Bombyx mori: one gene and its partner. The protein of the gene in region 2 purifies or fractionates together with the protein of the main gene of each other region. This does not show direct contact. Links are inferred from orthologs where the notes say so. Each region holds a gene or a part of one and is shown on either strand. Other genes may lie near its edges.

The links. The genes of interacting proteins can lie anywhere in the genome.
Region 1: the proteins of CCR4-NOT transcription complex subunit 6 (region 2) and CCR4-NOT transcription complex subunit 1 purify together in Drosophila melanogaster (affinity purification with western blotting; 6 studies listed by BioGRID, with this or other methods). This does not show direct contact. The link is inferred for Bombyx mori from reciprocal best matches to the Drosophila melanogaster genes twin and Not1.

Annotation. Positions count from the first base shown.
Region 1 is NC_085107.1:17,975,609-17,979,878, reverse strand, and holds the start of CCR4-NOT transcription complex subunit 1, read left to right. Parts: upstream 1-1,470; 5' UTR 1,471-2,028; coding exon 2,029-2,130; intron 2,131-2,237; exon of another isoform or gene 2,238-2,378; intron 2,379-3,043; exon of another isoform or gene 3,044-3,154; intron 3,155-4,270.
Region 2 is NC_085112.1:13,066,312-13,070,583, reverse strand, and holds the start of CCR4-NOT transcription complex subunit 6, read right to left. Parts: upstream 2,801-4,272; 5' UTR 2,653-2,800; intron 1-2,652.

The DNA of each region.
Region 1 (4,270 bases), on a different chromosome or scaffold from region 2:
TTACAGGTGGGCTATGAGCTCGTCCACCTATCTAAGCAACAAAAAAACATATATGTCAACATAACTAAGGTATCAATCTACTCTATCTAGGTCATAGACCTTTAGAGTAAAAGGTAGAGAAAGAAAATATCTTTAACGTTTATCGATAAAATCTAATAATATTAAAATCTTCTGGGCAGCATTTTTTTTGGTCAGGAGGAAATCGCCGAACTTCCGCCCTCCCCTGGGGATGGAAGGCGGGGCATGTTGGAGTCGAACTGACTAAAACCTCCTGTCGCTCAACAACCCGCGTCCGAACCTCGCATGAGACAGAACCCATGAAAAGGCAAAGGGGGGAAAGTGAAGCGTTTAGTGCGGAGCACATCTCTCCCATCACCCTCCCCCTCGGGACGCCGGACCAGCGGTCGTCGGCGCCACGACCACCAGCCCTCTCGGTCGGCAGGCTATCCGGAGCCCGTCTAGATGGCGCCGGTTTGAATGGGTTATCCTACGGAATACCCCGCTGGGTCAGAACCAGCGTGGGTCGAGGATAACCGGCCTTCCATCACCCGGATGCTTTTGCGTAAAACGCGTGCAGAGCAGCTTGCACGTCGTCTTCTTAGGCCCCCTTCGCCGGTCCCCAGACCGACATATGAAGGGGACCCGAAACATTTAGAGGGCCAGGGCTTGGGCGAGATCCGCCTCCCTGGCCCCCGCTCGACGGCGGCGGGCTTGCGCGTCTCTCACGCGCCCCGCCGCCTCCTTCTGCGAGATGGTGCACTCGCAGAAGTCGAGCATCGCCTTCCACGACTCGTCGTCGCCGAGCATCGATGCCAATACACTCGGCAACGACAAATTGTTTCCTATTTTTGCGACGACAGCACGGTGCACACCCCTCCCATGCGGGGCAGGCGACGAGGGCAGCACTAAAACCGCCTTGTTTAGCGGCCAGATGACGTCACAGTGGCACGCATTTTTTGTTGACGTTTCATTTCCATAGGTTTCATACTTCAGTGATCTAGGTGGAGCAGGGTCATGTCATTGTTTTTAAAATAGAGTCAGATCATTTTGTTAAGTGGCCTCTCTCGGTGACAATAATAATATGACAATGCAACTGGGGAAATTGATGCTATGTGTCATACTAAGCGTATGGCGTAATGTTAATATTAATGAGCAAATAGTTTGCGGTGAATTACGTCCCGATCTAGTAGATTCTGATTCTGGTCCAGCGGACTGTCTTAGAGTATTAGCAGTACCGTCTCAATGGCATAGCCTATCGCTGACTGCACTAGTCGAAGTTGAGTAATTATTGCGGATGAAGTCACCGTCGTATTTATAACACATAAACAAAAAGCAAACAAACTTAATCATCACATGAATGTTTGCCCGATGTGCGTGTCGGACTCATGACCTATTAAAGAAATTAGCTTCTCTATTAGCGAGTTAGTCAATTCAAAGTGATACAACGAAATTCATTTTTAGGTAACGTTTCAATGGTTAACGTCAAACTGTGTACTCGTATATGCTAAGGAATACATACGAATTATAACTTCTCTAGTTATCTGGTTTTAACTAAGCTATTAATTGGTAATTTTGGATCTATAGCTCTACACAGAAATTTAAAAAATGCGTTGCATAGAGTCTGTCGGTAAAAAATATTTTATTCCTAGCAACTCTAGATGAGAGTGTTTGCTCTACCTATTGCGAGACGTCCAATCTCTATCTAGTCGGTGCTCTATGGTAACTCTCTGGGCTGCGGACGTTCACGAAAATTTTCCGAACATGGCACGAAGCAGCAGGCAGCCACTTTGGTTCTTTCGTCATCGTGTGCTGATTACTACTGAAATTTAATTTATAAATTGCTGAGTGGGGTGATAATAATTATGTTGTTTTTATCAAAGTGAACAATAAAATTGGTGATGTTGGGCTTAGGTTTATTATCATTTCGTCAGAAAACTACCAAAGAACACAAGTTCGTCGTAGAAAATCATAAAAAATCGAGAAAGCTTCAAACGTGTTTGAAGCTTTCGTTTTTGCATTAATGGAACTATGAACCTGGACTCTTTAACGTTGAGCTTATCGCATATACATTATCTCGTCGTAAATTTAAACAAGAAAAATTTCAAGCAGACGAGTCAAGAATTGAATCAGGTAAGAAAACTACCATATTTTATCATTCTTTGTTTTCTGTTGTCGCCATATTGTGAATATTGGCAGCCACGAACTCTTCGCCTGTATGTGTGTGTAGCGTCGGGTTGTTCTATTTGGATATGTTATCGATCGTTATCGCTTTAATAAGTGCTCTGCGTTAGTTTCTTGTGGACACTTTTGATTTACATTGAAGCGTTTGCCTGGTGGCGCATCTCCGCGGAATGATGTCCGGAAATCTATAGTCATAGGTGGCACCCATTTCATTTCCTTCAGCATTTCATTTGTTAAACGTCAATAATCTGCTGTACATATTACGTTTATGATTCATTATTAATTTATCTTAAGAATATTTGAAAAAAAAGCTAACCAAATAAAGTTGAATGTTTATTCTTTTTTTAAAGTATGACAATTTTATTATTCATATAAGTAATAATATGTAATATAATAAATAAGTTAATTAATTATAACAAAGGTTAGAAAAAAGAAAAAAATTTGAAGGTCATTAATAATGTGTTGTGCTATCTGTGCTAATGATTCAATACAACTTCTTTAAAAAATCAGTTGCTAAATTTGTATTATCATACTACTTAGAATATAATAGTTATTAAAAATGACGCAAGATTATTTCAACATGAAAAACACGTTAGAAATTACCCCACATCTAGTCTTTATCAATGGTTGTTTCAACAAACTAGCCTAGCAATAAGTAAAATGATAATAATTAAACTAGTAGTAAATTGCGTGAAGCATGTTTTTGACATGTTGCTATTGCAACATTGCCTGAGTGATTTTCATTCCGTTTGGTTGCTCTGTTTTACTTCCGTGTGTAAAGATTCTAGGAAACATGTGTTGGACACTGTTCAGTAAAATAAAGTAGCAAAATACAGTTTTGACAGCAAAGGAAAATAACTGCTAGTATATAAATTGTATTGTGGGTAGACATGTGTTTTTTAACTGTCCTTAATACTGAACAAAGAAGACAGCAAACACTAAGGAAATCAATTTAATATTTACACCACTTTAAGTAAGCAATTACTATTTATTTTATTTCCCATTAAAAATACTGAGTGTTTGTTAGATTCTTGAAATCGTAATATTATTTATTATGTTGATTAGCAGATACCTACATACATATCTACTACTAAAATATGAACTCTGTCATAAGAAGACTTAGTATCTGCAGTAATAGATTTGCCTCTGATATTCTGTTAAATACCAACATTTATTTTGTAAAATATATGTTTGTACCTCATGTCTAATAACAAAATGGTAAACAAGTAAATTATTTAATAAAAAAAACAAAACCACTGCATTTAAAATATTAACTGAAATGCAAAAAAAAAAAACATGTAATGTTATTAATTAGGTTTTAGGTATTATGATATTACAGGTAAGGGACAAACCAGTTGTTCAATTGGTGGTGTTTGAATGGAAACAAATAAATTGTATTTCTTTGCCTGTCCTCAGGCAGGTATTTGAACTTTGAAAACTGCTATATAGAACAAGGACTCTCATAAATGTTATAAATGTGGATATATATGCTTATTCCTGTATGACCATGTCTTTATGTTGAACAAAAATTATCAAGATAGATAAGCTATTTAAATATTAAAGTGAACAATCAGGTCAGGTCAGGTAACTTATTTACTTTTATGAAAAATTTGTTACTTTAATTTGCTTGGTTACCTACTACATTTTACTGATTTTAATAACAATATAGTACTCAAATATGACAAATAATCCAGTACTAATAAAAAATAAATAAGTAGTACTCCATTATCACTACATAGTATAAAACAAAGTCGCTTTCTCTGTCCCTATATCCCTATGTACCTATGCTTAAATCTTTAAAACTACGCAACGAATTTTGATGCGGTTTTTCTTAGTAAATAGAGTGATTGAAGAGGGAGGTTTATATGTATAATAATATCCATTAAATAGTGGACAAATCAATAGTAAATTACAGTTTCTGAAGCGTAGCGAGGGCGGGTCGCTAGTATAGTATATGTAAAGCTGTCTTTTTTGTCACCTGGCTTTCAAAATGAACTTTCCTCCTAAATCTTTTCATGTATTTCTTCAAAGTTCAAAAATTGTTCTCAGTCTTAGAAAGTTGCCTAGTTGTGTTCTTTATGCTCAACTG
Region 2 (4,272 bases):
CAGTGATAACTTGTAATATCTGTGTGCTCTTAATTTCCTCACCATCAGCTATCCGTCACAGTTAAATGGGGTTTTATATCTCAAGTTTTTTCTATTTCTTTAATTTCATTTAAGACATTACTAGCTTCATCTTAACATTTATTTCATTATAAATCTATTGATGAAGGTAATTTATTTATTTCCTTGTCAAATAAATCTAATGTACAATTTAAGCAGGATATGTTTAATGGAGGATTATAAAAAATTTAAGTTTTCAGGCCAGAGGAAGTTACATGATAAAAGTAAGTGCATTTATTGAGCAACGACTGGAATGAGATCATAACCATTATAACAGTTCATTGTCTTCAATTGTCATTAGTAATATTTTCCTTTCAACTACCACTCATCTTTACTTTGATAATGTCTGAATACCATACAATAAAGTTCCAGGAATAACATTCACATCAATATTTACTCATTTCTGCAATAGATCATATTTATAACTTCATTTAAAATGGAATTTCATTTTAACTGGTGGTAGGAACCCTTGTGAGTCCGAGCAGGTAGGTACCACCGCCTTGCCTATTTCTGCCGTGAAGCAGTAATGCGTTTCGGTTGGAAGGGTAGGGTAGCCGCTGTAACTATACTTGAGACCTTAGAACTTATATCTCAAGGTGGGTGGCACATTTACAGTGTAGATGTCTATGGGCTCCAGTAACCACATAACACCAGGTGGGCTGTGAGCTCGTCCACCCATCTAAGCAATAAAAAGAAATTAAAAGATTACTTTTTATCTCTAGTCAATAGTTAAATTTCGCTTGTTAATGAATTATAAAATTATGAGCCTGTTGTTTTTTGATAATGATCATCCCTTAGCTCTCTATAAACTTCACATTGAAGCAGAATTAGAGTGCATGTTGATTTTAGGATATTTGGCATGATATTCAATAACAGAAAATACTTTAGGTTTTTTTACCATGATAGGCGGCTAATCATAAATAGGTTAAAGTCAACTGCAAAATGGATACATGCTGATGTCATCTAACAGGTCCAAAGAATAAAAAAACCAATTGTAAGATTGTCAAATCTTCATGATCATTATATTCGATGAATGTAGGTCAATTTCTACTCCATTCATATTAGACAGATGCTTGTTTCAATTTAATTTTATTTAATCTTTACATGCCATAGTTTTATTCTAACATATTTGTGTATGAACAAAATATTGAATTAAATAATTGTCATATTAATATCTTCATTTGATATTATTTTGGGTACAGTTTATTTATTTATGTGATAATATAAAATGGTTTTCGAGATTAACATTAGGTCATATTTTACAGTATTATAATGAATTACTGGTGGTAGGACCTCCTGAGAGTCCGCACGGGTAGGTATCACCACCCTGCCTATTTCTGCCATGAAGCAGTAATGCGTTTCGGTTTGAAGGGTGGGGCAGCCGTTGTAACTATACCTGAGACCTTAGAACTTATGTCTCAAGGTGGGTGGCACATTTACGTTGTAGATGTCTATGGGCTCCAGTAACCATTTAACACCAGGTGGGCTGTGAGCTCATCCACCCATCTAAGCAATAAAAAAAAATTGACTATTACACACAGCTTCTTCCATATGGTCAAGGAATGCTATGGGAATTTTCAGAAGATAGTAAAATGCAAATAAGTATGAATGTAATGTTGAAAAAATTTAAGAATAGTGGTAATGTATTGAATTTGTAAATGAATCATTGTGTTGATAGATTTAGACTTAAGATTTCTTGACCTCAATATTATGTTTTATGAACTTAAGAGATTAGGATTTTGGTTGCCAGCTGATACAGCCCTATAGTTGAACCATTTATTGTATATAAAAAACAGATATTCAAGACCCTCAATTTAAACTAATGAGTTTGTATCATAATGGAAGAGTGTAGTCAAAATATGAAACAGGAAAATAAAATGGACATTAAGAAGTTTGTAAATTATGAATATTGAATATCTGAGTATTGTCTAATTTGTTATTGCTACTGTATTTGTGTGAGTATCCAAATTTATTGGAAAGGATATTGAATTTGTATTTAGTATTCTTCTATAGTTTCTACATTCACATTAATACAAGATTACTTTTATATTTATTTTAAATTATTTTACAATCAAATGAACCAATAATGTATCTATAAACATTATTTTTTAATTATAATTACATTTTACACTTATCTACATAAACACTGATACAGTTGTTTTCTTAAGAATAAACATAATATTCAAGAAAAATATTGATGTTGATTTTAAATAATGTACCTTTGTAACAACGGTAGGGGTCATTAGGTGTGATAGATACACTTTATACGATAAATTATCTTCTTTCGTAAAAAAGGGACAAAACAGTTCCATAACCTCTGTTGTACGACTAGGAAACCTAAAGAAAAGGACCATTAAAACTTCCTTGAAACTGACTGAACAGACTGTCTGTGTGGCATACCCTGTTTCGACAAAAAATTGACAATTTAATTCATTATTTGTACCATTGCTAAGTAAATGCGTAGCATCTTTGTGTACAGCTGACAAGAAGGAGATGAATTGAGTCCAAAGCAGTTGGCTCGGCGAGCGCCAAGTCATTATAACAATTTAACGTTATAATTTAGACGTTAGATTTTATCTAGCATTTTATACATACCTTCATCTACTCCCTAAAACCTTATACTGCAATTATGATTATAGTAACGGGTAATAAATCACTGTAAACACACAACAGCACAGTCTTTGACAACCAACCACATCAAACGTCCATTTACTGACTGCAGCGACAATTCGTTTTGGCGGCAGGTTCTAGAACTTTTTAGTACCTGTAACCATAGACAAAATATTTTTTAAATTAAATTCTATATTTTGTCTTTTACAATAAAACCCTTTTGTTCGAGGCCCTTTTTTAAAGAGATAAAGTCAATTCGCTTATTTCTATTCCTAAAATATTATCCATGACGTTTACCATATTCACAGTCTTTATATAAACTTATTCAAATATTTCATATTTAAGTTTTATTTTATGTTGGCTTTTTTTAATTTCCGCGGTAGACATACTAGCATACCATCAATCAGTAAGTGCTTACTGTCACCCCTGAACATTAGCAATACCAGGAACGCAGGCAAGCCGCTGCCTACCGATATATAACATTACTAAATAATACAAAACTAAGTGACAAAAATTTCACTGCAAATTGCCTTGTTTGCTCCGCTCTATTTCTGCATGCCGGGTAACGGATATGATAAGATGCACTTTTTTAAACGTGTTTCTATAACCTGTAGTAGTATAAAAGTATAAGTATTGCAAAGGAACGTTGCATATAGTAGCAGTGTGTAATATAAAGGAATGTAGTAAATGCTGATTGATAATCACTGTATGAAGATTAAATGCTCGGAGAATGTTAATTTTTATACATCGGTAAATTTTTTCGTCGGTAAGAAATGGAATGGTACTGTCGTAGAATCACCGCTCGGTCGCTCACGCGGCTCGCACACACAAATACCCTCCAATCGCTACAATCCCGCCTTTGCAGGCTAGCCATCGGAGCTCGGTGGTTCGTGAGGAACATTGATCTACACGACGACCTGGGCCTCGAATCAATCTGGAAACAGACGAAGTCAGTGTCGGAACGATAGTTCGATAAGGCTATGCGTCATGATAATCGCCTTATCATTGCCACCGCTGACTTCTTCCTGAATCCTGATCACACCGGAGCCAGTCGCCGTCGACGCCCTAGACACGTTCTTACGGATCCATCAGATCCAATAACTCTTGCATTAGACACCTTTTGCTCTAACACCCCCAGGAGTAGGGAACCCGGTAACTGTACTCGTCAACTCATGATTAACGTATTAAACATGCGATAACAAATTAAAAAAACCCTTTTTCGTGTATACTTTACGTAAGTAATGTATACAATTCCTAAGATTGTATAGACCTGCCAGTCCACCGGTAATGTGTGAAATAACTATATTTGGGCCTGTTTTTATCATTGTTATGTAAGCCAGTAAGTAGAAGGGTATAAAACGACGGAAAAATAGCACATTAGATTTGCTTAAAATCAACTTTATTAAAATTTCCAATTAGTAAGTAGTTAGTTCTGATTAAAAACAATATTTTTTCAAAGTTAGGTATTTATAGTAAAATCACAATCAAATAACATTGAACTTAAAATTCTTCTGGGTTAACTAACATAATCTAATTTTCTCATAAGTAATCAGTTAAAAAGCTTAGACAACAAAACAATTCTGTAAAAACAAGATGTAGATCTAC